Linked DNA regions of Tamandua tetradactyla. The protein of the gene in region 2 interacts with the protein of the main gene of each other region in a biochemical or structural test. Links are inferred from orthologs where the notes say so. Each region holds a gene or a part of one and is shown on either strand. Other genes may lie near its edges.

What was found.
Region 1: the proteins of LRP1 (region 2) and DAB1 form a complex in vitro, tested with the Homo sapiens proteins (2 studies listed by BioGRID). The link is inferred for Tamandua tetradactyla from reciprocal best matches to the Homo sapiens genes LRP1 and DAB1.

Annotation. Positions count from the first base shown.
Region 1 is NC_135328.1:163,547,378-163,563,129, reverse strand, and holds the start of DAB1 (disabled homolog 1), read right to left. Parts: upstream 7,248-15,752; 5' UTR 7,119-7,247; intron 1-7,118. UniProt on the Homo sapiens protein: Signaling adapter of the reelin-mediated signaling pathway, which regulates the migration and differentiation of postmitotic neurons during brain development.
Region 2 is NC_135333.1:124,310,174-124,326,802, reverse strand, and holds the start of LRP1 (prolow-density lipoprotein receptor-related protein 1), read right to left. Parts: upstream 8,103-16,629; 5' UTR 7,677-8,102; coding exon 7,541-7,676; intron 1-7,540. UniProt on the Homo sapiens protein: Endocytic receptor involved in endocytosis and in phagocytosis of apoptotic cells. Required for early embryonic development. Involved in cellular lipid homeostasis.

The DNA.
Region 1 (15,752 bases), on a different chromosome or scaffold from region 2:
TGTGGGAGACTGGGGTTTAATTCCCTGTTCATGCACTTCCCCCAAAAAACAAACATACAAGCAAACAAAAGAAAAAACAAACAAAAATTCAACAAATGGTGCTGCAATGATGGGATAATCACATGAAAAAGAACGAAATGTGGCCCACCATACAGCATACAAAAAAAAAATCTTCAGGGATTCCTTGCAAACATTTATCCCAAACTGTCTCATAAGAGGCTGAGAGGTGCTTGTTCTAGTTTGCTAGCTGCTGGAATGCAATATACCAGAAATGGAATGGCTTTTAAAAAGGGAATTTAATAAGTTGCTAGTTCACAGCTCCAAGGCTGAGAAAATGTCCCAATTAAAATAAGTCTATAGAAATGTCCAATCACAGGCATCCAGGGAATGATACCATGGTTCAAGAAGGTCGATGCAGTTCAGGGTCTCTCTCTCAAGTGAGAAGGCACATGGAGAACACAGTTAGGGCTTCTCTTTCAGCTGGAAGGGCACATGGCAAACACGGTGTCATCTGCTAGCTTTCTCTCCTGGCTTCCGGTTTCTTGAAGCTCCCCAGGAAGCGTTTTCCTTCTTCATCTCCAAAGGTCGCTGGCTCGTGGGCTCTCTATTTCGTGGTGCTGCAGCATTCTCTGCTCTCTCCAAATCTCCTTCATTCTCTAAAATGTCTCCTCTTTTATAGGACTTCAGAAACTTGTTAAGACCCACCCAAATGGATGGAGACATGTCACTTAATCCAGTTTAACAACCTCTCTTGATTAAAGCATATCTCCAAGGAGATGATCTGATTACAGTTTCAAACATACAGTATTGAATAGAGATTATTCTGCCTTTATGAAATGGGATTTAGATTAAAACATGGCTTTTCTAGGGGACATACATCCTTTCAAACCAACACAGTGCTCCTTGAAGTCAAAGTTTCTATGGAAAATATGATTTTAAAAATTTTTTGAAGAGTTAAATTTTTGAGTTTCTTTAATGCAGGAAGTCCACAAACCTTTACTTTGTCAGTAAATACCATTTCTTCTTAAGTTTTGGATATATAATTGAGTACTTTCCAAACATTTTTGACTGCGGAATTTTTCTCTTTGTACATTGTTACCTTTGAATTACTCATAATGATCTTCAGGGACATAGTGTTCCCTAGAACAACATTTTCTATATTATGACCACACCCAACTATGCCCATCTCAAACCAATTATCAACCTTCACGTCTACACGCTTTTGTCCCTACAGTTCTCCTGGTCTGGAACGCCTGCATTCTGAGAAACTGGTCAACTTTCACGAACCAGCTGAAAAACATCTTCTAAGAAGCTGTCCTTTCTCCAGACAGAATACAATTATGTCTTGGAAGCTTCCAGTGCTATACAGACGTTTTCTGTACCACATCTCACACCGTAGCAGTTACGCAACAGACTGTATGCCTTGAGAATACCTTTTCATGTTGGTATTTTTCACAATGCCTAGCACAGAGACAGGCACACTATTCATAACTTTTTAGTCTCTCCTGTGAATGCAAACCTAACAAGATTAGAAACAGACAGACATAAGGACTGAAAAAAAGAAAAAAAAAAAAGACTGAGAGAGTAAAAGGCAGAGACAGGCAGAGAAAGAGTTGGCTAAACTGATAGTGATCATGAGTCCAATCAAGAGAGAGAAACCAACCAACCATGTCAGAGATTATTGGTAAAAAGCTCTGGGCAGATATATAGGGTTGGTAATTTTGCATGGCTCACTGTAGGTCAGCAACACTGCTGACATGGGTACACTCTGAACTAGTCACTCTCTTTGAGAGGTGCCCCTCCACCCCCATTTTCACTCCCCAAGCTAAACTGCCCACTGCTGCCACCACAGAACTTGCATCATTTTAGTTGTGAGCTCTTGTATTCAGCAGAATTTTATTTCTGTCTTTCTTTCTCTTTATGAGAATCCCCCACTGGCATTGTAGATTGGTTATATGTCAGCTTCAAATAAAATAAAATAATAATAATAAAAGCAAGCTGGCAATTTCTTTCCAATAGAATATGCTGCATATTTCATGAAGTAGAAGCCAGAGGAGTTTTATGATTCCTGAACCAAAACCTTCCCATATCTGAGGACTAAATGGAAGAAATACATGAAAAGAATCTCACAGAAAAAGAAATCTAAACATTTGCTCCCCAACCTAAGGGAAGTGTTCAGGTGATTAATTAGCGTAATGATTTTTTTTGGGTTTTTTTTTACGTGAGTTCATATCCTGATTCACATTTCATAGACTGAGTTCAGTGCTAGTTTTCATGGATATAAATTTACTTACTAGAGAAGGGGTTTTCTTTTCCTACTGGGCACAATTTTTCCAGTATAGAACATCTGGCTGGCTCCTGCTCTTAACTTATCAATATCTTTCCTAATCCAAATTTTATTCACTTTTTCAAGCGACTTCTCTACCTTGGTATAGGAGACAATCTGGTCTAGTGGAGGGAGCACAGAAATTCTGGGCTCCAATGTAAAGTTAAGGTATCTCCCCCAGCCTGATTTCCACCCCATCTGTCAATTGGGAAAGTTGACTACTCTACCTCAAAGATTCAATCAAAATCAAAGTCATATTATTTTCCTCAAAATAACTGCTGAAAAGTACAGTGACATGGAGATTTTAGTATTATGTATGCTTCACAATTCCCTTCACAAAGAGGGGAAATGTTCAAGGAAGTATTTCCAATTATCTAAAACAAAACAAAACCTTGACCTAAAAATCCTGATAAGTATCTCTTTCTCTCTATCACCTGGTTAGCAAACAAGGAAAAAAGAACAAAAAAACAGACCAGATACTATCAGAATGCATATCAATGACAGACAATTTTTTATTAACAAGGTGAAGGATGTTTCTCTTATTTGAAGGATAACTTTAGTAGCTAAGTAACAATCTGTGCTAGGTGCCACTTTAAGCACTTTGTGTTAATTCTTACAATCCTCACAACAATCTCATGACACAGGCACTGTTATTATGAAGAAATGGTATTAAAAAGAAATTAAATACCATGGCCAAGGCCACACAGCTGGCAGAGCTGGGAGAGCTGAGGTCCATACCCAAGCAATCAAGCACCCAAGTCCAGGCTTCTAATCACCTGTTCTAACACCTTTTCATTTGAGAATCGGTGTTTGCCACAGCCAGTAACTGACAGCAGCAGCAATATGCATTTCTGTACAGTTAACTAATGAATATTTTAACAGAGTGGACAATGTTAACCAATACCTGCCAGGGGTTATCACAAAGTCACAAATATTAAAAATTCCTACCACCATCAGCCCAATGCCCTGCTGGCAATGGAACACCTATTTCGTGTAGGTAGCATGTGAAATTGGGAAAATCTGTAGAATATTCTACAGGAGGTCTTACTATTCCACTATCCCCTATTAAATATTACAACCACCCTGGGGGATAGCCGGGATCATCTCCCTACTCAGAGGCACAGTGGTTAGAACACACCCTGGAAGCAGAATGCTTAGATTTAAAGTAAATACTACTTCTATCCCTTCTTTGCTGTGTGACCTCAGGCCAGTTACTAAATCTCTCTGTGCCCCAGTTTATCCATCAAATGAGAATAAAGATACAGTATCTACTTCCTAGGGTTATTACATAAGTTAATGTATGTGAAGTGTTTAAAAGGGCAACAGACTCTTAGTAAGTATTCTATAAATGTTTATTTTTCTATAAATGTTTATTTGTTTATTATTTTTCTTTTTATTAATAAGAACTGTGACTTGCCAAACATCACAAAGTTAGGAAGCAGCTGGACTCAATTCAGGTCCTCCAATTCCAAATGCCATCGTCTCTCCTTCCTAAAAGCTACCATTTTCTCGAAATCCTGCTATGCGTCAAGCACTCAATGAAATGTTTCTCCACAAAAAAAAATTGCCCAAAACTCCATGATGAGACTGAGATTCTGAGAGATTAAGCGATTTAGATTCAATCACTTAACTCAGCCAGTGAACACCAGCCTTCGTCACAGTAAATCCTAAATAACAGATTGAAAGTTCATGACAACACCCCTTTAATTTATGTCACTTTTTAAAGTGCCCATCTAAAAGACATAAGTTGATTTTCTTGCTTTGTCAGCTTTGTTAGTTCGAGAGAAAGATTAAAATTCCACCAAAAACAAAATATTTGACTTGAGTGAATCATCAAAATGAAATGCTGCCTCAATTAGTTTCTTCATCTGCCTGCAGGGTGGCTTTGGGCATCAGAAATTCACCAAATGCAATTTATAAGATGGGTACTATCAGGTACCAAGCCAAACACCCACTCATTTAAGAAAAATTACTTTGGACGGCAAAGAGGAGTGAAGAAGCATGTTCCTCTCTGGCTTTGGGAGGAGAAAATGAACAATAAGTGATAGAATCTCTTTCCGGCAGCCTCACACAATCCTGTGTCTTGCAACGGAGACATACTGTGCAACAGCTTGCAAGATGAGCTTCATCAACAATAAGTAATTTTTATTCAGATTTTATTGTTGAATACAATGAACATGATTAAATGTTTCAGATATGCCTATTCAGACCTTAAGCAAACCACCAAAAAAAATAAAAAGCTAGTAAAAATCATCTTCTAAATCTGCTTTACGAAGACATTTAATTGCCAATTCCATGTGTAGAACTGAAATTCCACTCGATAGTGTCACTGTTCCCAAGAAGATAGTAACAAGTTTACTCTTCCCACCTGGGCCTCTTCTCTCATCCCTGCAGATCCTAACCATTCTTGCCAAATAGTTACAATGTCTGTCTTTTCAAACCACTACATTTTAAACTTCCTACAACCTTTAAAAGAGTCTGTGTGTGTGGAAAAGAACAATAGCTCTTCAAAAGCCATTTCTGGGAGTTCTTCAATACTCCATTTGAATGCTGGGGTTTCAATCAAGGACATCAGCAGACAATTTCTGATTGCTCAGAAGTTGACTTTTATACAGCTTTGATTAGGTCGCCCTTCTCAATAGGAAATCAAGAAAATCTTTGATCCCTTTCAGTTTCCAGAATTGTCACCAAGCCCTGTCAAGATAGGGAGTGAAAGAGATGGGGGGGGGGGGGGGACTGTTCCTATTCCAAACTCTCCCTCCCCCGTCCCTTGCATCTTCTTGACTGAAACTCGGGGTTCCATCCCAAATCACTCACCGCTGAGATTGATTTAAAAAAAAACAATAATAATAAACAATGGGTGCTAATTCAGGGGGTGGAGATGGTTTATAATTTTATGGATTTCCCCCGAATACCTATAATTGGCACATAAATGTACAAACGCGAACTGGATAATTAGGGGGTTCTGAACATAAGCTACCTTTAATTTATATGATTACTTGAAAACATGTTAAGTGTTATGAAGTGTCAGCTGAACCCCTACAAGGCCTTTATCCAAAACCATCAACATTGTGAAAGTGCATCTAATGGGCCAGCAGGAGGGGAGCAGGAGGGGGGTAGTGGGTGGAGAAGCAGCAGAGCAGATTCTCGCTCGGTTCCCCGCCGGTACGCTAGGAACTGCATTGTAGCATCCATCTCAGAGTTGGTACCCGCCCGCCCAGCTCCGGGGCACTGAAAGGCGCTCTCGCTTCAGCGAGCTCTCGACTCGCCCCTCTTTCTGATCGCGCTAAAACACGGCCGTGCACCGACATCCAAACGCACGCGCAGGCACCGACCCACGCACCCCACCCTCACCGCCACACACTCGCGCGGCGGCACCCGCCACTCCGCGGGCTGCGGACCCTCGGGCAACAGCCAGGCCACGGACGCCCGGCGCCCCCGGCCTCCCCACCCCCATTCCATTCCTTCAGATTCTCCCCGCCAAGGCGGAAGTGCCAAGGCAGCAGACCCCCAACAATGAGGACTTGTGTGATGCAGTTGGGGGGTGGTTTCTACGGAGTGAAACGTACACAGTCTGGCCGGGCCGGGAGGAGCTGCGCAGGAGCCAAGTGCCATCGGTCTCGCGAGGCAGTCAGTGCCCACCCTCTCCCAGACCTCAGTCGGGTTCTGACCACCAGCACCAAAAAAAAAAAAACAAAAAAAAAAAAAAAGGAAAGAAAAAGAAAAACCACGCGCCTTAGGAAGTGCAGAGAAAAGACGCGCCCTCCCAGCAGGGGTCACAATAACACTTGGCGGGACGGAGCGAGTGGGGGAGGAGGGTCCTGGCTGCAGCAAACACCCCCGTTTTAAAAATGTACTACTTCCTACACCCGCCCGGGCCCTTTCAGACGTCGCGACACAACCTCCCCCCCCCTCCCCCCCCATTTCTCACTCTCTGACTACCGGTTCTCTCAGAGGTTAGGAACCCCTTTTCATGGCTCCTTTATGCGCCGAACCACGGGCATTTATTTAAAGTTTCCCCAATAGGAGGAAAAACAAAAAACAAAAATCGGAGTTCTGCATCCGAGGCCGATCGAGTCTGAAGCAGACAGGGGAGGGTTAGAGAGGAGAGGTATCGGGATGGCGTGGAGCCCGAGAAGTAAAAATGGGAAGGAAGGAGGGACCGAGGAGCCGGAGAGATCTGAGCCGACGGAGGACCCAGGGAAGGCTGGGGCCCAAAGAGACGTGGGGTCCAGCCCTGATATTTACATGGAAGGGTTGGCGGTTACTAGGACAGATCCGGTTTTCCGACAGGTCCAGGCAGAACCGCAGCGCTGCCAGGTAGCAGGCAAGTGAGAATACGATTCGTCCGGGACTGGGTGCGCTGCTCGTGAGAGAGGAGCAGGGTCCGGGACCACAGATGAGGTTCTGGGGTGGGAGAAGGAAAGCTCGTAGATGGACAGAGCTGGGACCCCAAGAGGGAGGATGCTGCGGATCCGGAGACAGCCCAGCAATTCTGAGTGAGCAAGTCTAGAAAGAGGATCGCGCGTGGCCAGAAGTACGGAGATTGCGGGAGGAGAGAGGACGGGAGGAAGGAGCAGAGGTCGCCCCTCTCCCCCACTCCAGCAAGTGGAGGGAGCGAGCGGTAAACTGCTGCAGTCGCCATACCCACGCAGCGCCCTCTGCCAAACTCCCGAGAGGGGAGCCCCGGGGTCCCCAGCGGAGACACGCCAGGTGTCCGGGCGCTGTGTCTCCGCCCGGCACCTGTCCGGGTTGAACTCTAGGGCTGCCGCGTGCCCTCGCCGCGCCTCACCTCGGCTCGCCGACAACATCCTCCTCCGCTGCCGCAGCCGCCCAGGAAGCGGCTCCCCATGCCGGTTGGGCGACGGGACTCAGGCGCTCTCTCCAGTCCGGGGAAGCCCCGGCGAGCGCGGTGCAGGGTCCATCCTCCCCGGGAGCCACGGGCCTGGCGTCAGAGCAGGGGGAGGAGACCGCCCCACGCGCAGACCCGCCTCCTCCTCCGGCCCCCGCCCCGAGGCCCCCCGCGCCCGCCCGGCGCCCAGCGGCCTCGCTCACCTCCTTGGTCCCGCGGCGCGCCGCGTGCCTCAGCCTTAGGGCTCGGGCTCCCGCTGGGGCGCTCTGTGCGCCGCCCGAGCGCGCTCGGAGAGCTTAGGCGAGTCGCGGTGGCAACAGCCAGGAGGAAAAGCGAGCGAGCGGGGGCGCCGCGGCTCGCAGTCGCGTCTCTGGAGCCCCTGCGTTCACTTCCCATCCCGGCGTGGAAGGGGGTGAGTGGATCAGAGAGCACCGGGTCCCCGCCCCAGCTGCGCCGACGAAGACAGGATTGGGAGAAGGAGGAGGGCTAAAAGCAACCAGACTCCGGGTTCCCAAAAGTATCCGTCGTTTCGCCAGCATCACCGCCACCACCAGCAGCCCCCGCCCGACCCTCCCTCATTTTTCTCTTTTATCCAAGCCTCAAAACACACACATACCAATATATAAAAAGTGCCAGTGGGCGAGAAAAAAAAAATCAGGGAAGTCTCACGGGGTTGTGTTGCCCCCATGCCCCTCTGCAGGAGGGGGCGCTGGTTCTCAGCCGCCTACCCTGGCTCTCGGCTCTTGCTGTTGTTACTGAAACTCCCGAGGCAAACTTGGGCTAAAAAAGATGTGCGTCTGTCTGGTTTTCATCGGTCCTGGGAGGAGTCAACACCCCCGAGAATATGCCCCAATTCACCCTAGCTCCGGTTCTTAGAATGCCTGGGAGTACACAATCCGTAGATTAGATCGCTGAATTCAACCTGCGCGGGAGAATGCTCCAGCGTATACACTTCAGTCGCTCCCTGCTTTGGGCCATATTTTACGGAGATCTTAAGAACGCCAAATTGCAGAAAATATATTCTGAAAATTCTTCAGCTCCAGTAAATTCTTCAACACCATTAAATGCCTGTTGCACCATTCCTGTCTCTAGAGGCCGAGATGCAGGGGGCTGTGGGGTGAGTGGGGGGGTGGGGGGTGGAAGGGTAGGGACTCAAACCAAGCGCTACCTTGCTGGAGCAGGGCGCCAGGAGGAAAGGAAGGGGCAGTCAGTAGTTCCTTAAAAAGTTTATTTGTATTCCTTTTTAGGGGCTATGCTCCTCTTCTCCAGCTGTGTAATAATAAAGCTAATGTGGTGGATTTGGTTTTTGTTTTTCCTCATAGCTTCTGTAGCTCACCCATGAAAATTTAATGAAGCATTTAGGGTTATTACCTCCAAAGTCAATGGGCTAAAAATATTTAGCCTAATGCACTCCTTATGGAGCCAATAGGTCTATGACTGGTACATACGAAGTCATCGCGAGACCCTCCCTTTCTCCACAAAATTCACGACCCATTAAACTTATTCCGTAATAACAGCTTCTGTACAAATGGAGGCCGTACAATCGGAGGCTGTCATGCACCTCCTGAAAAGATAGCAATTTACATAGAGACAAGAAAAATGTGTGAGGTCACTGGCAGGGTGCAATCTTAGGAGAATAGTTAGTTGATCAGAGGAAACTCCCAACAAGGTGTGTGGAGGTGGTGGGGGAGAGAGGGTCCTCACCCCTGATCCTACCCTGCTCCAACTTACTTCTGGGGGTAGCCAGCAAAGAGTGGGGGACCAGGAAAATGGGCTCAAGTCTCTCAAATCTTCCCAGCGTTCTAGAGAGTAGGAAGAGCTGACACCTTATCACTTCAGTTTCATTCAGTATGAAGTTCAGGCTGGCCAGGCTTTTCCTTGTCTATAAAGACAGAACTTAGGAGACATGGACAATTCAGAGAAGCTATGACTGAAATGGGGGGAGGGGTAGCTGGGACAAATGTCAAGCTGTGGTTAATGGACCATCTATACAACTTTTTACTGACTCTACCAAGAAACACTCTGAAATTTCTCCATGCTTTGAGGGCAATCATGGAACATAAAAAAACATTCACATGCATTTAGCCCTGCATATGTGAATTGTCTCCTCCTGTCTTCCATCAGGTCCTGTGTTGGACTGATGTTGTGATTACAGACTTTGAAGGGAATGCAGGACACCAAGTTGGCTGAGGAGTAGAAAGGGAAAGAGGATAAAGTTAAAACTCAATCTCTATTCAGCATTGGACTGGGTCCACTGTGGAAACTGGGCACATTCCCATGCAATCCAAAAGGGCAAGACACTGCAGCTGTTCCTCACTCCAGACCGGAAGAAAGCATAATCTATAGATTCTGATGGCATACAAGCTGCCCAGCAAGGGCCTAGTGGTCTTCTGGATGAAACTTAAAACAAATCTTAACGCAGTATTCTTAAACTATTATGCTAAACATGTCAGACTACTCATCTAAAATTTAGGGTGATTTTTCTATTATTATTTAGGTTTCTGGCAATGATGTCACTTGTATTAAGTGCAAGATAAGAAAAAATAATTGATAAATATTTCTTTATCATCTACTCTGAGAAACAGCAGACTAACCAGATGATCAAGAGCAAACATTTATATATCACTTATTCTATTTCAGGACCCATTCTGTGTGCTTCTCATATATTAACTCATTTAACCTACATGACAGCCCAGTGAAGGAAGTACTCTTATTGGGTACTGTACTGGGTAGAGTATGGATTTTGATGGGCCTCAGTCATCTTTGGCAAGTTACTTACCTCTCTGAACTTCAAACTTCTCAACTACACAATACCTGCTTCATGAAATTGCTGTGAGCCTTAAATGAGATGGCATGTTGGACATGTCTTGCACTGTATAAGTTGCACAATAAACATCTATTTTCTTCCCAAAATAATTCCAACATTGTTCATTTTAATTTAAGGAGGATTTGTGGAGTATATGCCATCTTTTCGGGCACTGTGCTAGGCATTGGGGATAATGATGATAAATCAGAAACAGACCCCATCTTCAAGGAACTCAGAGTCAATTTAATAAAAGACATGGACATGGGTAGCATGCACATGGGTGAGAAGGAACATTATTGAACCTTCACATAATTGATTCCTATGAACAGGATTCTCAAGATACTCAAAAGGGCAGCCTATGTAAGTGCTGTTTAAGACTGACCCATGGTTAACCAAATGTTGAAAATCATAAATCCTGCCAAATAACTACTCCTCTGAAAAGGGGAAAGCAAAGTAGTCCATTCTGTGTATTACATAGCATTTACAATTCTGTTTATTCCTATAATTGTTCCAAATATGCTTCTCATTGTAAAGAGTATAATATCTTGATTTGTGTTGCAAGCTTTGGGGTTTTCAAATTATTACATAATCTCTATTTATTTAATAGTTTGTAGTGCTTACATACACCAAGAATATGCTAAAGTTTCTATACATATAAAGCTCTCAAATTAATAAAACTGTTAAACCTGTCCAGTAGGATTATCCCTATCAGGCTCATGGAAGATCTTAGGTGCTCAAAGTATACTACTACATACACACAGATTCCAAGGTTAATTCCAAATCTATCTAAGCCTCTCATTGTCCCTTTCATTGAGATTCATATTCACACTCAGATTCTGTATTTTGGGAAGAAAATTCTATTCATTCAACAAATGTTCACTTAATGCTTATTCTTTGTCAGGCACAATGTTAGAGAAAGAAAGAAAAAAAAAATGCCCTCAAAGAATTCATAGCTAGGGGAAGGAAACTCATCATCACATTAAATTGTGATAAATGCTATAATACTGACAAGTACGGAGTGCTCGGGGAGCATCAAACATGGGCATCTAACTCAGGTAAAGAGTTAAGAAGACTTTGTGAAAGAGGTGTTACCATCTTGAAAGATAACTGGGTGACCAGATGAGGCAGGGAAGGCATTCCAGGCAAAGAAAAGAGTAAGTGCATAGAGAATTTTCTCTGGGGGTGGGAGGCAGGGCATAGTTGAATCTAGATAAGGGAGCGAGAACAAATTATAAAAGGTCTTATTTGCCATATTCAGGAGAATGGAATTTAGCATGAAAATTAAAGGGATCACTTTAAAAAAAAAAAACAGGAAAAAAAAAGGAGATAAATATTTTGCAAACCTTAAAGTAATCACATTTGGCATACTTTGCTTGTGTGCACTGGACACAAGTAAAATATCCAATTCCTATTTTTCTTCTAAGATTAAAAATCCTATGAAAAAAAATATTTCTATGTGTCTTCATTAAAAAAGAATTTATCTTCTTTCATGATACCTATGTTACTGGCCTTGCTTAATTCCAGGGAAAGGTTGCATAGCAATATTATTAAACCTGACTCTGGTTGACAGTAGCTTTAAATAGCATTCTTTGTCCCACCCCCCCCTACCCTCTAACCCCACCCCACCCCCACCCCTGCTACACACACACCAAGAGGGGTCAAGGAGAGCAGCAACAATGCAACAGTATTTATGTCACCAGTCTGCTCTTTTTAGCTTAAAGCACAATAGAAAACAAGTAGAAAGCTAAAATGATTGTCAAAGGCCTCTTGTGTCCCACTACATCCCCCCCCCACAATGTTTTCACTCATAAAGGGGAGCTTAAGGTGATATTAGTGCTTGGAGAAATAGGTGGGCTCAAAGCTATAAAAACATGGCTGAGTTTCTGATACTTAGGGAGTATAGAAACAGGGAAGAATCAGCATAGAAAGGGATACAGTTATCATTTAATTTTTGGCTATTATTTTAGAGTTCTGGTAGATATTTGTCATTTGCCTCAGTGGTACCCATTCCTGCTTCATCTGGAAACAACACCCAGATCCCCATTCCCCCATTGAACAGGTTTTTCTCCATTTAGTTTTGGTGGAGCTGACTCTATCCCTGGCTCCAGGGTTGGACAAGTTAACTCAGTGCAACATATTCTCTTGGCCACAGTTCAGACATAGTCAAATGGATGATGGAACAACATGGAAAAATGTTTTCTCTTTTCCACTGAACTTGAAACTGGAAAGATGCTAAGCCTATAACTGCCGGAACCCATCCCATGAAGAAAGCATTTGGAGGATGAAACTAACTGAGAAGAAAAGAGGAGTAAAAGATAAGAAAACAGTGCTCGCTTCTGTGGCACATATACTAAAACTGGAATGATACGGGGAAGATAGCAGGGCCCCATGCAAGGATGATACGCAAATTTGTGAAGGATTCCATATTTTCCAAATGGTGTTTACCCTCACAAGTTGGTGTTCTAAACTTGCAAAGAACAAAATTAAATAATTGATACATCTAAAACAGAAGGAGAGAAAATAGAGATGTATGATGATATTGTTCAGGGAATTTGGTTTAGCCATGCCTGAAGCCAACTACTCTCCTACCCCCTGGGTTTTCTCAGTTTCAGGAGACAATATATTCCATTTTTACTTAAGCCAGTTTTTGTCACTTTTAATCAAAAGCCAAATACATTAGGCATTGTTTTATGCACTTCCTGTACATTATCCAATTTAGTTCTTAAAGTACTCCAGCAAGATATTTTATATATTTGTACTTGGCTTGGTTCTATGAAGAATATCAAGGCACTGTGCTCACATTTTACAGATTAGAAATAAAATCAGAGAGGTTAAACATTTTCTCCAAAGTTATACAGTTAATCGGACTGACAGTTGGAAAATCAAATTTTAAAATACCATTGACAATGGCATGACATAAAATATTTAGAAATGATTGAATGAAAGTGCTACAATATTTCTACACCACAAACTACAAAACCTTGCTGAGAAAATTAAAAGATAAGCAAAATAATGGAGAGGTATACCATGTTAATGGTTTGGAAAACTCGGTATTGTTAGGATGTCAATTCTCCACAAACTGAACTATACATTTAGTACAATCTTAATAAAAATCCCTGCTACACTCTTTCATGAAACTGATGAGCTAATTCTAAAATGTACATGGAAATACAAAGGACTTGTAATAGTCAAAATTATCCTGAAAAAAAAAAAAATAGCAAAGCTAAAGAGCTTCCACGACCTGCTATCAAGGCTTACAATAAAACTAGAGTAATCAAGATAGTATGATATTGGCATTAATGAGAGACCAAGTGATCAATGGAACAGAATAGAGAATCCAAAAATAGACCAACATATATTCGGCCAACTAATGTTTTTTACAAAGGTGCTAATGCAAATCATTGAGAAAAGAAAAGTTTTAAAACATGGTAGTAGAACAACTGGATAAATGTATGGAAGATAATGAACTTTATCCCCTTTCTCACGCCATATGTAGAACAAAATAGAATAACTAAAGCTATAAAAGTTCTAGAGGAGCACACTGGAGAGTATCGTAATGGTTTGAGAGTTTGCACAGTTTCTTAGAGAGGACAAAAATTTATTGAACATAAAAGAGAAAAATGATAAATTAGAGTTTATAAAAATGTAAAACTTCTGCTGATCAAAGGACATTAAGAAAATGAAAAGGTAAGCCACAACCCTGGAGAAAATATTTTCAATACATATATCTGACAAATTGGATGCAGAAAATATAAAGAACTCCTAACTAATCAATAATAAAAACAAATCACATAATTAAAATGGAGATGAGTGAATGATCAATAAGCACATGAAAAGGTGCTTTACATCATCCTTGATCATAATGCACATTACAATGCACAAATGCAAATAAAGAAGCCACAATGAGATACAGTTTCATACTTACTAAGATTTCAAAGTCTAACAACATTAATTATTGGTAAAGACGTGGCACTCTCAAATGTTGCTGGTGAAAGTATAAAATGATATAACCACTTTATTTTGTACTTTCTTATGAAATTAAACACATACTTACAGTTAGACTCACCCTTAGGTATTCCACATATAGATATTTACCCAAGAGAAATAAAACACATGTACACAAGACGTATATTAGAAAGTTTATGGCAGATTTATTCATAATAGGCCAAACTGAAATCAACTCAAACGTCTAGCCATAATAGAATAGATAAAAAAGTAGTAGAATATTCCTATAATGGAATGTTCATCACTAAGCGAGAAATGAAATGCATTACCAATATACCCAACATCATGGATGGATTTTTAAATCAATTTGAGTGAAAGAAGATAGACCCAAAAACAGGTTAGTAATGTGATTCTATAGGAATTTCGACAACACGCAAAATTAACCTATGATGAAAAAATTCAGAATAGTTGCTGGCTCTGGAGGGGGATTACCTGGAAAGATAACAGGAAATTTTCAGGGATAATGGGATGCACTACATCTTTAATGTAAAGTTGATTCCATAGGTATACACATTTATTTAAAGTGATCAAATTGTACTCATAAGATCTGTGAATATCACTATTTCTATTTTACCTCAATCTGTTTTGTTTTGTTTTTTGAAGAGCAGGTATAGAGAAGGTGGAAGGGTCAACCAGCCCCCACGATCCGTTTAGGTCCCACTCTATTATGGCCCAACATGGATCTTTGTGCTAATAGTGGAAGTCCTGAATAAAATATTAGATTAAAAAAATACTCTCTGGTATACATGATATGGCCAAAGCAATCAATGTGGGGGCTAAAGCAAGAATGGGTCCCAAAATGGAAGCCCCATCCATAAAATGAAAGCACTGTCCAGAGATGCAATGTGTGTCATGACAAAGGAAGTCTTTCCAGGAACTGAGTAAATCCAATACAGGTGGGATGGTGGCTTGGCAAGATGGTGATAGAGAAATTCAAGTTTCAGGTGGTGAAAGTAAATGGGAAGAAGGGGCCTTGGATAATCAGATCTTTTAAGTTCTCCTTCCAAATCGTGATATTCCCTCATTCCTTGAGAAGTTCTGGTCAAAAAGCTCTTAAACTATAGTCACACCTTTCAATGGTTCTTTTCCTCTCTGTCCCAAAAAGCCAATGAAGAGACCACAACTCTATAGTGTAAGCTATAGGCTGCACAGTTGAATTCATATGAAAAACTCACAAGGAAAATGTCGCCACTCTTTCCTGGAAACATACTGATGCAAATCACTCTTTATAAAATATTTTTTTTAAATAAAAAAGAATGTAATTGCTCACTGAATTGTAATATGAATGCAAATTAACTTACTGTAATTATACTGTGTAATTTTCTACTTTAAAAACTTAGAAAATGGAAGAGACCTGATAAGTAATTTGAACTATAATTCTTCATTGTGTTCCTTCATTATGCAATGGTTACCATAAGCAATTTGCTCTGATTTAATGTAAAATGTTTTTAGTTCATACCTTTACATCAGCAGGACTCGAATGAGACCATTCAATACACGCAGATACCCCCCTTTCCCTCACAAGTGCGTTGTAGAAATAATCAAGATAAAATTAAGCACAAGAGAATTTGTGAAGGATTTTTAACATATTTTCATTTTGCAACCATTAGCACATTAAGTATCTCTCTTTCCTATACCCTCAATGTTTTAAATAATCAGGAATTTTCTATCCATATAGGAGTTAGATAATCAACATTCTCGGTTTAGCAGCAAAATTATGGCAGAGAAATAAAGACATTGGGTTCTAGCTCTAGCTTTGCCAC
Region 2 (16,629 bases):
TAAAAGGCACCTAAAAGAGTGCTTAGGATGAGAGAGCTGGAGAGGAGCAGAGACAGGGGCAGAACTGGGATGGCCTCTAAGAGCTGGTTTCCAGGACGTCTCCTGCCCCTCCCCTCCCCTCCATCGCCTGTTCCTCCTTCCCCTGCTTTTGACCCACTCTCTTACTCCATTCTCTAAGGAAAAACTAAGAACAGCAACAGCTGACTTTTACTGTGGGCTTAGTATGTGCCAGGCACTGTGGTAAATTAGTTCTTTCCATGTATTATCTTATTTAATCCTCTCCACAAAATGACAAAGGAAGTACTACTAACCCCACCATCTCACAGACTAGGAAACTGAGCTGCAGAGAGGGTGGGTGAGTTGCCTGGCAAGTGATGGAACGGAGACTCAAGTCCAGTTCAGAGCTTCAAGCTCTGCACCGACCAGTGCAGCATCCCTTCACCAGCCTCGCCATTCCCACAGAGAGATCCGGGAACTGTCCCTCCTGCCTGGAAAGAGGTGCCCCTTCCACCTGCACCCGCACCCAGCGCCGGGGTCCCAGCGTCCCAGCCCCTCATGGCCTTTTCCTCGGCCTGGGTCAATTTCATTTCCGTTCAGCTGGCATGCACTGAAGGCCAGCTCTGTGCAGACACTGCACGAGGCATTGGGGGTGTCAAAGCGGAGTGAGACTCCCCTCTGCCTCTCAGGGGCTCCCAGTCCCCTGGGAAGACAGCTCTGCACTAACCCGAATGCAAGACAGAGGTGTAAATAAAGCCTAGGAGCTCTGAGCAGGGAGGGTTAGGGTCTGGCAGATGCCTGCCCCCCCCACCCTAATCCACATCTCTAGCAGAGTGGGTGGCACTCAGGCCCCTGGCCAAGATGAGAGCCGAGTTCAGGAAACACATCAAGGATGGCCCCGCCAGGCCCCCCCACCCAGAGTCTCCATCTCCTACACCCCCCCACCCCCACCGCGAGCCGGGAATAAAGGCCCCTTGAGGAGGTGGATAATGCTGAGTTCATTGCCCCACTGGGCCAGCTGTGAGGTCTTCCCGGGAAACACAGTCTGCCAGCCTAGTTAGCATGCCGGAGAACCGTCCTCTTCCCCTGGCCAGCCGAAGCCGGCTGGGCGGCTGGGGGGGCTGGAACGGACTCGGAGGCAGATGGGATGTTTGGAGCCCAGAAACGGACCCCTACGCCACCCTAAGCTTCACCGCATTTCTTCAGTCCTCCACGGGATGCCTGTCCCGGGGTCAGGTTCTGCAGACAGGGTCTGAGGTCACTGGTTGGTCACTCGGACCTCCCCTCCACTCCACGTCCCAGCCTTGGTCCCCCCACCCCCGCTCTGGCCCTCACTTAGTCTCCTGACTGTCCCCCACCCCCATTTTTGGCCTGAACTCGACAGAGGAAACAGCAGCTGGCAAACTCCGAAAGCTGGAATGAGAGAGATTCACAAACCAGATGTGCTCTCTCTCTCTCTCTCTCTCTCTCTCTCTCTTTCTCTCTCTCTCTCTCTCTGACGGAGGGGAGTGGGGAGCGAAAGGAAGAGGACGGCTCAGGGCCCCTGGCCCAACAGCAGCATCAACTCGGGCCCAGGGGTGGGGTGAGGGCACATCTCCCAAGGGCCAGGGCAGCACAAGCACCCAAGGATGGAGGAGAGATAGGCAAAAGGACTTCCTTCCTCCCTAACAGGAGAAAGCCCCGGGAATCTTAAGTTAGGAGGCTGAGGCCTGTCTTTGATTTCCTTCACGGGGAGAGGGGAGGAACAAAACAAATACCTTACTTTGGGGCAGTCTACACAGCCAAGGGAAGCCTGGCTCTGGGCTGGGAGGGAGCTGTGCTGGGGGTGGGGACCCGGGAGCTGCTGGGGGTCAGCAGCCAACACCCCAGCCTTCCGCCGAGCCCTCTGCAGTTGAGCCCAGCACCCGGAAAAGCCACCTTTGTGGCCTGCAGTTTAGACGAGGCAACAACCCTGCCCGAAAGAAAGTGGGCAGCAGCTAGTGGCCAAACCCGCCCCCAGCACTGGGGCTTCCCAAAGATATTTAGATCCTCTCCACCCCGTGATGTGGGCACCATGGTGATTCCCATTTCACAGATGAGGAGACTGAGGGGCCAGGGGATTAGTAAGCGCACTCATCCGCCATGGCGAAGGGGTCAGATTTAGAAGGCAACGGTAGGGAGAAGGTTTTGGCTCTCTTGTCACTGGGGATGCAGAGAGGGACCTTGGAGGTGGTAGTGGTCTAGTGCTGTGCGTGGAGGAGACCCAGGGGACAAGCATGGGTCTTGGACGAGGAGGGACGAGAGGAGGGAGAGGAAGGAGGAGAGGAGAAAGGAGGAGAGCGAGCGAGGCTGAGGCAGAACACAGGACACAGGGCCGTCTGTTCTCAGCTTTGCCTGGAGATGAGTGTGACCGCCATGCTAACTCTGGTCAACACCCCTGCCCGCCCCCACCCCCCGCCCAGACCCAGGCGCCCAGCCCAGCCATGGCCCCCAGGGCCACCACAAGCTGGAGCCAGGAGAGGAGGTGTAGGGTTGGGTGTGCATCCAGACACAACACGGACCCCACTGCCTCACTGGGACCTTGGCTCCCACCCTCTGTCCTGTTTTGGGACCTTGGGGAGTAGGGAAGGGGGGCTGGCAAGTGCCTGGTCAGAGAAGAGAGGGCCACAGAAAGCACAGACCCCTCAAGGAGTCTTCTCCAGAGGAGATGGGCCCATCATTCCCCAAGCCTGTGGGAGCAGTGAGGAGGAGGAAGAGAGGTGAAGGCTCAGATGGTCCTTCCCAAGGGACAAGGACAAGGAGACAGGGAAAGCATGCAGGAGACCCTCGAGACCCTTTCCAAGAGCAGACAGGGAAGAGGGAGAAACTGTGTGTGTGTGTGTGTGTGTGTGTGTGTGTGTGTGTGTGTGTGGGCGCGCGTGCGCGTGCACGGGGTGGGGGAGGTTGTTGAAGGGGGATCATGAGATATATCTGAGGGGACAGAGGAGCCAGGGGGTCGCTGGGGGGGGTGGGGGTGGGGGACAGAGCCTGCCAGAACCTGAACTTATAAACACATGGGGGTGGGGCGGCGAAGGCCTTGCAGACCCAAACCTAGGGCTTTTCACTTCATTTTATGTATTTTGGGTGTTACCCCTTGGCTCCTTCCTGCAGCTCAGTGAGGCTCAGACACATTTTTGTCATTCCTGAGTCTGGGCCTCTGCTTTGTGGCCTGGACAGAAGGACAGACAGGGTGGCTTGAACCGCAGGGAGGGGAGAAGGGTCTCCCCCTTCATCCTGAGTCAATATTGACTCAGCAGGACATTAGCCTGGACCGTGACTTCTCCACCATCTTTTCCTTTCCCCACAAATAAAATCCAGACCCTTCAAATGCCTCCAGAGGTCACCATATCTCTCGCCAGGCTTTATTAGCCGCCTTCCCCACCCCCCCGCCCCCCACCTCCCACACACAGGGCCTATGCTTACTAGAAGTAAAAGCTCTAAGTTCCTGACTCATTCTCCCCATCTTTCTCCTGTTCTCAGGCTCCGGCGCATGAGGAAGTTCCTACAGAAGTCTAACCTCCTTCCTTCCTTCTGAGACACCTCCCTCTTTCCTCTTACTCAGCCCACAAAGGAGATCAAGTTCCCTTCTTCCAGAAACATTCTCTCCGAAATCCATTCCCAAAAATTAGTGGAGGGGAAAAGAGAGAGAGGAACTTGGAGGAAAGTGGAGGGGGAGCTTTCACCACTGAACCAGACCTTCTTGGGTCTGGCCAGGGAGGGAAAGAACAACTCCAAAATGATGATGGGAGCTGGGGAGCATGTGGGAAGGCCCAGGAGACACTCCTGCTCCCAGGTAGTTCTCAGGGTACCAAGAGGCCCGATGGAAGTGAATGGCAACAGGCAGAGACATATAAGACAAGTGACAGAGACCAAGAGACAGGACAGAGAATACCATGGAGGATGGGCAATAAGAGAGTTGAGCCGAGAGGAGAAGAAACAGAGGGGTTCTGCGTGGCCAAGGCAGCTCAAACCAACGACAGACAGAGGCAAAAAAAGGCAGGAAGGATCTTAGCCCAGAGGCTGCCAAGACAATGACACAGTTGCCCTGGGATGAACCCAGAGAATGACAACCTCCCTGAAGCTCCGAGTAGGGTGGAAGGCAGCATACACCCTGGGCTGGGGACATAATGCCCCTGCCGTAGCTGCATCTGACCCAAGGGAGACCCAGAATGGGGACCACTGCCTCCCATGGAGTCAGGAGGAAGGGGGAGACGAAGACTGGAGCTCCTCTAGCAGGGAAGCTAGGGCCCGGGGAGACCCTCACCTTCCCTGGGGGAGCAAGAGGGACAACAGCTTCCCCTCCTACTCCTCTCCCCAATGCCCCCTCACTTCCCAAGTCTTTCCCAGGGTGGTTTTACATGGGAGCCTGGGGCCACTGCTCCGGAAGCACTCCAGAGCCAACTGCTTCCTTCTCCAAACAATGCAGGATCCTGCTAACCCGGGTGAAATCTGGGACAGAACACAAAGTGGGCTCTGTGTGTGTGAGTGTGTAGGGAGACTGGGTTCCCCAAAGGCTCACACCCGGCACCCAGAGTGCCAAGGCAAGGACCTTCGTGCATCCCACTCAACTGCACCCAGATTTCCCAAGAACAGAGAGCCCCCAAACCAAAGCTAGAGGAGAGTTAGATGGAATAAGGAAGGACTTCCCAAAGGGAAGGAAAGGGGGATTTAGGCAGGATTTGGCTCTAGCCAAGGCTCTGGCTGACATCTTTGGGCGATACAGTAATGGGAGAGTTTTCGAGGGCAAAAATAAGGAGAAAATGGAAGGAGAGGGAAGGTGAGCAGGATTGGAAAAAAAGGTAGTTATGTGATATAGCCCCAACATCAAAGTATTCTTCCAACCCCAAAATGAACGTTCTACATAAACCCCTCTTTGAAAAGTGAGGGTCAGGGGGGACGATCTAGGATTTAGGTCTGACCCGAAGAGAAAGGGTTTGCAACCTTCTAAGGAATCGAAGGGTAACACCCCAACCTCATAACTCACTTCAACGGTCCACCTTGCCTGCTAACTGGTAATACCCCGACGGGTTCAGAGATGGGTGGAGAGGAGTAGGAAGAGAGGAAAGATGTCAGCATTTCCCCGCAACCCACGTCTGCCTGGGGCTGTCCTTCCCATTACACAGCGTTCCCTGATTTCAACCAGACCCTCGAAAACCCCTCTTCCCATTCGCCATCCCATCTGGCTCTCCATCCTCCCCAGCAGCACCAGCACTGAGTACTAGTGGGAACTAACACGACTCCCCAGAGAGGACTGTAGGGTGGATTTAGGCACAGAGGAGAGGGGGAGGCCCCTGTGCAGGGAAAGCAGCAGGGCCTGTGAGAGCAGGAGGAAGGGAGGTTAGGACCAAGCCAGGGGGCGTCCTTCTCTGGAAGCAAAGGAGAAAGCTCAGGGTGTGCACCTGAAGCATGAGGGTGGGGTAAGGATGAGAGGACCCTTTGGTTGCCCCAGGATAAAGACAGATGGTGGCACAGTTCTGGGCAGTCACCGGTCCACTCCCCAGCCCTGTCCATGGGGTGGACCTCATCGCACCAGTCCCATTCCCAGGATGAGAGTCACGGTGTGCTTTGGGGGAGGGGTCCTCTTTCTAGGACTTTGGGAAGAGGTGTGAGCTGGGGCTGCAGCAGGGGATTTTAAGGAAGGATAGGGAGATAGTTAAGGAAAACTTATCCCATCTTCCTCCTTCTTGAAGGAGGAGCCAGCTTGAGGTGGTGATTACAGCCCTTTAGAACTCTGGGAGTGAAGCTACCTGGAGCCCATTCCTGGTCAGGCTGGGGGCCTTTTCTGCTTTCCACAGAGACCCCTTGCTTTTGCCTAACTCTGTCCACCCTCTTTCATGGGGTTCCTGATGGGTCTTTCTCTTTCTCTTTCCATACTAAAAAATATATATATATATATATATTTTTTCCCTATCCATTCCCAGAACTGCAGCACTAAAATCTCTCTGCCTCAGTTTCCCCTCCCAACCTACAGAGCTGAGAAACAGAGGCAAGAACTTGCATGACTGAGGGAGTCATGGGCAAAGGCTGGCTGTGAAGGCTGGTCTAGAGGATATTCAGGGCAGAGTGCCTTTCTTTCTCTTGGACTGATAATTGAGGGAGTGGGAGGGGGTGCAAAGAAACAGAGCCCTGGATGGGATAACTGAGGGCCACTACACATATCCTCAGTATTCTGGGCATCGTTGCTTCCTGACCCCATAAACCCCTCCCCCAAGTGAAGCAAGCTCCAGGGAGGGCAGGAGAGGGAGAGATAATCTGGTTTCAGGGAAAAACTTTCCCAATCACAACCTGGCAAAATTCAGAAGATGGAGGAGGAGGGGGAGGTAAGGGAAAGGAGGACAATTGCTTGTTGCATGATGGTATCCGGCCCAGTCCCCGGGCCCAAACCCATAACCCCAGCACAAATCTTGGGCAAGACTTGAACAAGTGAGTCACAAGTAAAAGGGAAAAAAAAACAGCTGACAGAAAAAGGCCAGAGGGTGCATCCCGTTTCCCCAAAGGGACACTGTTCGTTCTAGCAGAAACCTAACTCTGCAGTATACAAAGTATGTATATATCTGGTTGAGGTAAGGTGGGATAAATAAACACATTTACCAAAGGATCAGGGAATTGGGGTATGGGGGTATGGCTATAAACCTAACCCACCCTCCAACTCTCCTTCTAGACCCAACTGTGATCAAGCCAGAAGCCAGGGAGAAAGCAGTCCCCCCACCCCCACTCCAGCATTCCAGGCCATTCTTCAGTACCCTTCCCCAATGATGACATATGACGTTTTTTCATCTCAAACCTCCCAGGAATTAAGAAGGAAAATTCAAAGTCACAAAGCATCCCCTGCACCCCTTTAGCCCCCCAGTACAGCTCTTCCCAGGCTACTGACAGAAGTCCTGAGGCCAGGAAGTGCCGACTCCAGAACGCAGGCAGGCGCCCTGCTGGATCCTGGATCCAGGCCTCCAGGCCTGGGCTCCCGGGCCCAGATTCCACACCCAAGCAGGGGGCCTTCCCCATGGCCCTCCCTCTCCCCACCCACAGCCTTCTTGGGCCTGCCTGCCCTCCGCCCAGCAGGGCATCCCTGGCCCTGCTACCCTCTTCAGCTTCAGAGGCCAAGGCAGAACCCCACCCCCCCCACCCCCGCCCCCTTTTGCAGCCGCACATTGCAAACCAAGATTCCTTCACAATTCAGATTGGGGAGGGGGATGCAGGATGAAGGGGAGGCAGAGGCCCTCCCGGACAGAGATAGGAATAGAAGGCCTTTGGATCTCAGGATCAGAAAGGGGGAGCCCTCATCTCCCTACCCAGGCCTCTGGTCTTTGTCTGGGCTGGGGGGTCCCTGAAGCATCATTTGCCCAGGCCCCCATCCCCCCAAATCATACCCCCATCCCCGCCCCCAGTGGGGCCGCTGCTGTGTCAGCTGGACTGGGATAACAAAAGACACCCCCTCCCACGTCTCTGTTCCCCGGCTCTACGCAGGAGTGGGGGCTGGGGAGGGGGTGTCCCCGGGGGTCCAAGGGGGCCGCGGAATCTCACTCACCGTCGATAGCCGCCGCGACCAGAGCTGAGAGCAGGGGCAGCAGCAGCAGCAACGCCGGGGTCAGCATGATGTGGGCTGATGCAAGCAGCAGCTCCCTCCCCCCGGGTCCTGCTACTTCTTGTCTTCGCCCCCCCATTTGGGGGGATCCCCCCTTTTCCTCCTTCCCCTCTTCTTCTCCGCTATTCTGATCCTTTCCTTTGGCAAAGCGCACCAGGGGTGTAGGTGAAGAGGCAGAGTTGGGAGTCCCTTGCGGAGGGCCTGCTGACGGGGGTGCGCCCTCTGCCCCCAAATCCAAACCCCTCACCCCCTGCTGTTCTCCTCGCTCTTCTCTCCCCCTCCCGGGGCGAAGCTCACAGCCCCATCTCGGAGCCGCCTCCGGCTGCAAAAATGCACAATTGGGAGGAGGCGGGGAGGGGGGAAGGTAGGGGGCGTGGACCGGGTGGGGGAGCCCTTGAAAGGGGCCTGATGGAGCTCTGGGGGCTCCCCTCGTTTCCGCCTCCTCAGTGCACGGGCCCGGAGCTCACACCGCTGTTCCTTGGACTGAGATGCTGCGGGGGGGCCGAGGGGGGAGAGGGAGGGGACCGGGAGAGGAGCGAAGGAGGGAGGGAAGGGGCGGGGAAAGAAAAAGTGTAGGGGGGGGGGTTGTAGAAAGAGCTACGCGGCAGTCCTGGCAGTGCGCATGCGCCGGTTTGGCGCGCTGCCCTGGGGAGGGGGAGTCGGAGGAGCACCGAGACTTGAGCTCTGAAGCGGTCGGAGTGTGGGGGTCCCGGGCATCCGCCAGTCCATTTGGGACCCGCAGCGCCCTCTCCCCTGAGTGGCCCCTTGCTCTGCGCTCCAGAGAGCTGAACGGGCGAAGTGGGGAGATGGGCAGTGGGCGAGGAGAGCCGCTCCTCTTAGAAACTCAGAGTCGTACCCTAGGATTTCATTCCCCCCCCCAACTTCCCAGGGCTGGGGGTGTCCAAGACTCCGAGGTCTGCTGACGAGGCCTCCCCCGCCTAGGGTGGGGGCGGGGCCGCCAGTCCGCCGGGAAGGTGTGGGGAGAGGCCGGGCTTTGATTTGGAGACTTTGTAATACCGGGACCGGGATTGGGGCCTGCGGCGGAGGGGGGCGGGTGGAGGAGGGGCCGCGAGGGCCCGCCCCCTGGTCGCTCCGGGGTTCGGAGTAAACAGGGACACCCGCGGGGACACGCCAGAGCTTGTCCGCCTGCCGAGGGCTCGGGGATGGAGCCCACCTTAGCACCCGCCCCGCCCTGCTCGCCTGGCACCGGGCGCGGGAGGGGCAGGCTCTGGTTTGGAGGGAGGTGAGTCACTAGCGGGTGGCGTTGAGGAAGGGCCACCCCCCTTCGCCCCCAAGAGGTTGAGGCTCATTTTGTTTTGTTTTTTTGGTTTTGTTTTGTTTTGTTCTAATCTTCTGGCTGGCTTCCCACCAAGTCAGGGTTTTAGATTCCTGAGCACCAGGGATTTGGAGTCAGAGGAGAGACTCTGCACCTCTCTGCTTCCAGCGTGGGGTTCTAAGGGGGTGTCTGCTGAGAGACCTTTGTCCCCAGCCCGGAGCCTGTACGGGAATGCTACTTTGAGTCCTGAAGGCGCTGGGGGTTCCCCGAGTCCGAGAAGGTGCTTCTGGCTACTGCCCCCTTCTGGGTGGTGTCTTCAGGCAGTATCCTTGGTATCTGACTTTCTGGATGTGTGGAAGTCAAGAGTTCAGAGACCTGGGGCTGGAGACACTGGCAGCAGGAAATCAACCTTAGAGATGAGTAACAGTTGCTGCACCCTTCTCCCTTCCTAAAAATCTAGTCAAAAAAGGTCCCAAGTCCTCACTCCAGTCTTTCCCTTACAGGGACAGCATGAAAAAATTGTTAGTGGCAGTGGGAGCACGAGAGGACTCCAGAAAGAACTTGACCTTTACCAAAACCAGGGATTCTTTCGAGCCCTCTTTGCTGCTTTGCAAGCCTGTGTTCAAGGCTTGTCATTTTTTCCTTGGAAATATATCTCAGATTTCCTCCATTTCCACTGCATGAGAAAGTTTCTCCAGAGGGGCTGGGGTCTTATTCATCCTTGTATGCGGACCTCATGGCCTAACTCCTGGCAGGGACTCACTAAATGCTTTTTAATGAACGCTACTAGATTCCTCCCTCTCCCAGGGCCCCCTCGGAACATTCCAATCCAAGTGAAATCAGGTGGAATCGGACTTCTTGCAGCTTTGAAAGGAAAAAGGTATCTGAGTGACTGTGTGGCCCGAGGGGGCAGCCTCATTCCTTTCCCTTCCATCTGTCTTATACCTGTGAATCGTCTTAAAACTCGGCCTTCTCCCTGTCTCTCCCTTGCTGGTGACCCTCTCCTGGGTATTTATAGGCAACTGAGTCAAGTGTGAAAGCTTCTCCCAGACAGTCACGGCCTTTCAAAATCTGGCCTCAGCCAGCATATCAACACTGACCTCTGGCTACCTCCTCGCTCCTGCTGTTTCCTAAATGTGAATGTGTATTTATTTTTTAAGAACTTTATATTGTAAAAAAAAAAGAAGTGCATGCCTAGTGGTTTTAAAAACTCAAAGAGGATAGAAAGGTACAGGTGAAAAGCAAACTTGCCACTCTTCCACACTCCCATTCCTCAGCCACGTCCCCAGAGTAACCGCTGCTAATAGTTTCTTTGGTCTTCTTTTTTTTTAACGTTAGACAAATATTAATGAATATCTTTAAATAACACAAATGAGCTCCTACAATATTATACTGTCCTATACCTTGCTTTGTTCAATGAACTCATCTTGATTCCTTTCTGTATTATACTTACATGTCAAGCTCATTCTTTATATTGGCCACTTGGGATCTCCTTGCTTGGACACTCCATAATCTGTTGGGATGGTTGGGCACCTGGGTAGTTTCCCGTATGTGGACTGCTGAGGGTGTCTCTAGGAGAAGAAAATGCTCTTTCTACCTGAGCCTTTGTTAAACTGTTCCCCAGCTTCTTTCTGCCCTCTTCAGAAAAACTTTCCTATTACTCTATCTCTGCCTATCTATCTGTTCTAAACTTGCACTCATGGTAACCTCCGGCCCCAGAGTTTAGCGCTCGATCATATGGGTCCAGGGTCCACCACCAGACTATAAACTCCTTGAGGGCAGGGACCATGTCTTTTACTTCTTTGTATCTACCTGGGCTTAGCAGTTCTTGATTAGTTTGTAGGGAGGCTGGCAGGAATGTTAGGACTAGGGGTACCTGACCTGGAGGAAGAGACAGTCATAAATAATTGATGTCAGATGGGATATGACTGTGAGCAATCTCACTTCCCTATCTTTTCTCTTATAGTATTCATCATTCAGTCCCTCTCTGCCTCAGTTTCTCCTCTTTCTTCCCACTGCTGTTCTTAGGAAGGTTTTTCTGTCCTGAAATTTGGGAGATGGAATTTGGTGAAAGTCATGGGAAATCAAGGAGGAATTCTCTACAATCCATTACTGGGAGACCTAGAAAGCTGAGAGTGGGCAAAAAAGTTTGGACCACTCTCCCCCCAATCCCCCCCCCCATCAGCAAATTGTTAAAAACCCTCCCTCCCCCTCCCTTTTCTGCCTGGGTACAACAGGGTCTGGGATAGGGCAATAATGGGGCAGCTCTGGGACTGAATTTCAGACCACAAACTGATACCACCTAGTGGTCAGTACTAGAAGTGTGCACAGGAAGGGGTATCTTTGAAGGGTCTGGTGGAAACTGGAAAGAGGGAAGAGCGCCAACAATTATTGAGTACTTTACAAGTGCCAGGCACATGCAGTGAATTTTATATGGATTCACTTCCTTAAGCCTTTTAACCACCTTGTGACGTAGGGGTTATTTCCAGTTGGTAGATAAGGAAATAGACCCTCAGAGAGATGAAAGAATCGGCCCCCAATCATAGTGCAGATTTGTGCCCATGTTTCACTCATTTAATAAACATTCATTGGGTATGTCACCTGCCAGGCACATTACAAGGCACTAGGGACAAGAGATTGAAACACACCCTCTCAGGCTTCAAGAAGCTCACAGATGAGTGGGGTTGCTCAACAGGTAATTGACAGTCACAGCACAGGACCTGAAACCTATGATAAAGACATGCACAGAGGGCCCTGAGAACCCCGAAGGGACACTTATTATAGATGAAGGGATCAGGCCAGAGCAGGACATGTGAAGACAGGATAAATGTTGAAAGAGACGAAGGAGATGACAAGTGAGGAAAGTAGGAAAGGGTATTTTAGGTAGGAAGGAGGAGAGGCTAAAGGAGTAAGTTTAAAACATTTGGGAAACTGAAAAATGTGGTATGGATGAAGTTTGAGGTACTTTTTGGGAGGGTACTGGGTATGTCACAAAGGCTTTTGTGTGTCACACTAAAGACTTAGCATTTTTTTCTTTCTTAGAAGGGATAGGGAGCCAGGTGAGAAATGATGTTTTTAACTAATGCACTAGTGATAGAATTGGAGAGGAAGAAAAGAATTCTAGAGGCATTAAGGAGGTAGGATCAAGTATAATAATTGGTTTTTCATGTAGGTCTAAAGGATGGTGACAGAGAGAGCTGGGCCTTTGAGAACACATTAGAATGTTCTCAAAGCTCTCAAATTTTAGCTGCACATTAGTATCACCTGGGGAGCTTTTAAAACTCCCAATACTGAAGGATTTATACCACTTTACTTCAAGACTTGTTAGCTACAGTAATCAAAAGAGTGTGGTAAGAGCTTAAGAATTGACAAACAGATGGAACAGACTAGAGAACCAGAAATAGACTTGCACTTAAAGGTCATTTGATTTTGACAAAGGCGTCAAAGTAATCCAGTGGAGAAAGGGATGTCTTTCAACAAACGATGTTGAAAAAACTGAAAATCTCTATGGGAAAATAAATGACTCTTGATCCCTACCTTATACCATACACAGAAGTTCATTCAAGATGGATCATAGACCTAAATCATAAAAGTGAAAATCTTAAGGCTTTTAGATTAAAATTCAGAAGAACATCTTCAAGACTTGGAGGTAGGCAGAAGTTTAAGTCATAGAAAATAAAAAACCTTGAAAGAAAAAAAAGATAAACATGAAAATTGAAAACTTTTGCTCATCAAAAGACACCACTAACAAAATGGAAAAGTAAGCCAAATAGATAAGTAAACCATTGATCTGACAAATTACCAATTTCTAAAAAAAATGGAGAAAAGATTTGAACACATACATTACAAAAGAACATATACGAATGGTGAATAAGCACAAGAAAAGTATTCAACATCTTTAGTCATCAAGAAAATGCAAATTACAATCTAAAAAACAGAGAGAGACCAATGAGACATTGACAATTAAATGCAATACATGGTCCTGAATTGGATCTTATAACGGAGGAGAAAATCCCCAAAAGGACATTATTTGGTACAATTGAAAAAATTGGAATATAGACTGTGTGTTTTATATCAATGTTAAATTTCTTAAACTTGATAATTGTATTTAATGTGGTTACATAAGTGAATATGCTAGTTGCACCAATTTGAAAGTATTATATACCCCAGAAAAGCTATGTTTCAATCCTGATTCAATCTTTTGGGGGCAGCCATTTCTTTTAATCCTGGTTCAATATTGTAGGGTGGAAACTTTTGATTAGATAAAGATGTGACTAGACCTATTCCAGGTGGGTCTTGATTAGTTTACCGGAATCCTTTAAAAGAGGAAAAAATTTGGAGCGCGCTCAAAGCAGAGCAGAAGTGGATGTTTGGAGGGCAGTCACTTGAGAGGTGACAGAGCTGACACGAGACCTGGACGTTTGGAGATGCAGGGCCCAGTGATGTTGCTGTGTATCTTCCCATGAGATGCTGAGCAGGCCAGAACCTAGAGTTTGTTTCCCAGAGGAGCCAAGTGAAGGCCCACGGACGCCAAATGAGGAACCCCCACAGGAAACAGAGGTTGAAAGCCACAGAGCCCAGGAGCAAGGGACCAACAGATGCTAGCCACATGCCTCCCCAGCTGACAGAGGTGTTCCAGACCCATTGGCCATTTTTGAATTAAGGTATCTTTTCCTGGATGCCTTAGTTTGGATATTTTCATAGGCTTAGAACTGTAAACTTGTAGCTTGATAAATTCCCTTTATAAAAGCCATTCCATTTCAGCTTAACAATGAATACAGATTTGGGTACTAGAGAAGTGTGGTGCTGCAGTTTGCAAATACCAAACATGTTGAAACAGCTTTTAAAAAGGATAAGGGAGTGTGCACGGGTAGTTCAGGGGTTAGAATGCCCACCTTCCATTCGGGAGACTCGGGTTTGATTCCCTGACCATGCACCCACCCCAAAAAATGGATAAAGGGAAGATTCCAGAAGAGTTGTGAGGGTCTTGATAGAGAAGGCCTAGAAGGCTTTGAGGAAACTATTGGTAGAAATGTAGACTCTAAGGATACTTCTGATAAGGCTTTAGACAGAAATGATGAACGTGTTGTTGCTAACTGGAAGGCATTCTTTGTGGATGGAAGACAGAATTTGAGAGTGATGAACTTAGATATTTAGCAGGAGAAATTTCTAAACTAAGTGTGGAAAATGCAGTCTGGCTGTTCCTTGTAGCTTATAGTAAAATGTGACAGGAAAGAAATAAGTTGAGAACTGAACTTTTGGGTACAAAGAAAAGAGAAATTGATGGTCTGGAAAATTCCAGGCTTCCAGAAAGTGAGACCCCAGTGAATAGGATCCGTATTAGCTAGGGTTCTCTATAGAAACAGAATCCACAGGAAATATCCATAGATATAAAATTTATAAAAGTGTCTCATGTAACTGTGGGAGCATAAAATCCAAGGTCTGTGGAACAGGCCATAAGCTGGTAACTATAATGAAGGTTGCAACAAACTCCACAGGAGAGGCTCACTGGCTGAAGCAGGAAGAGAACCTGTCTCTTCTGAATCCTTCTTAAAAACCTTCCAGTGGGCCAAGATGGCGGCTTAGCAATGTGCGCGTTTTAGTTCGTCCTCCAGAACAACCACTAAATAACCAGAAACAGTACAGAACAGCTCCTGGGGCCACGTCAGTGACAGGACAGACAGCGTACCCCAGTCGGGACCAGCTGAACCGGCTGCAAGCCCCCCCAAAACCGTGAGATCCCCAAGCCACAGCAGCTGGCGCCCGGCGCCCCTCCCCCACAGGCAACTTCCCAGAGGGAAAGGAAAGAGACTCTAAACCTGGTCAAGGCAGAGGTTGCTCATTGGGCTCACGGAAAAAGAGGAAAGGGGAGGAAATGGAGGCTTTAGTGGCTGTGTCTCTACGGAGACTTGGCAGCCTCTGGATTCAGCAGTGGGACTTCTCAGGCTGCAACTGCCCCAGGTATAGGCAGAAATGGGTTGCTTTCAGTGCTGTTTTCCACCTGTGCCTTCCCCAGGAGAGAGGTGAAGCCCAACTCAGGTGGAATCCCTCCCTCAAGGAATTCAGACCTCAGGGCTTGGCAATTTGAAGCCATTAAAACCAGCCTACAACCTCTCCTCCGTCTCCACCACGCCCCCAGCAGGGAGAGTCTTACAAAGTCAAAAGTGCTGCAACATCGTTTGCTGGTGTGACCCGCAGGCAGACGCGCCACATACTGGGCAGGATAAGAAAAACAGAGCCCAGAGACTTCACAGGAAAGTCTTTTAACCTGCTGGGTCTCACCCTCAGGGAAAACTGAAGCAGGTGACTCCTTGCCCCTGATAGGAGGCCAGTTTAGTCCGGGAAAACCTGGCTGGAGTCTATAATACCTACGTAGATCCTACTAAGGATGGGGAGGGAAAAGGCGCCATACAAGCAGGGCAAGAAACAAGAAAACAAGAACTGAAAAATTATCCCCTGTTAAACAAAACCTAAGCTAGAGGTCCAGAAAAAGCTGAACTGAAGGTCAAAGAACAGATAGACAACAAATTCATCTAGCAAGAAAACCCTAGATGAGAAGTGAAAGCAATCACCAGAATAAACCAATTAAGGTAATTAAATGTCTAGATGCCAGCAAAAAATAACAAATCACACCAGAAAAATTGAAGATATGGCCTAGTCAAAGGAACAAACCAATAGTTCAAATGAGATAGAAGAGCTGAAACAATGAATTCAGAATATACGAACAGACATGGAAAACCTCATCAAAAACCAAATCAATGAATTGAGGGAGGATACAAAGAAGGCAAAGAATGAACAAAAAGAAGAAATGGAAAGTCTGAAAAAACAAATCACAGAATTTATGGGGATGAAAGGTACAGTAGAAGAGATGAAAAAAACAATAGAAACTTACAATGGTAGATTTCAGAAGACAGAGGTTAGGATTAGTGAACTGGAGGACGGGACATCTGAAATCCGATAAGATACAGAAACTATAAGGAAAAAATGGGAAAATATGAGCAGGGACTCAGGGAATTGAATGATAATATGAAGCGCACAAATATACGTGTTGTGGGGGTCCTGAAGGAGAAGAGAAGGGAAAAAGAGGAGAAAAACTAGTGGAAGATATTATCACTGAAAATTTCCCAACTCTTATGAAAGACCTAAAATTACAGATCCAAGAAGTGCAGCTATCCCAAGGAGAATAGATCCAAATAGACATTCTCCAAGACACTTACTAGTCAGAATATCAGAGGTCAAAGAGAAATAGAGGATCTTAAAAGCAGCAAGAGAAAAGCAATTCATCACATACAAGGGAAACCCAATAAGACTATGTGTAGATTTCTCAGCAGAAACCATGGAGGTGAGAAGACAGTGGGATGATATATTTAAATTACTAAAAGAGAAAAACTGCCAACCAAGAATTCTATACCCAGCAAAATTGTCCTTCAAAAATGAGGGAGAAATTAAAACATTTTCAGACAAAAAGTCACTGAGAGAATTTGTGACCAAGAGACCAGCTCTGCAAGAAATACTAAAGGAAGCACTAGAGACAGATACGAAAAGACAGAAGAGAGAGGTGTGGAGAAGAGCGTAGAAAGAAGGAAAATTAGACATGACATACAAAATGCAAAAGGCAAAATGGTAGAGGAAAGTACTACCCAAACAGTAATAACACTAAATGTTAATGGATTGAACTCCCCAATCAAAAGACATAGACTGGCAGAATAGATTAAAAAACAGGATCCTTCTATATGCTGTCTACAGGAAACACATC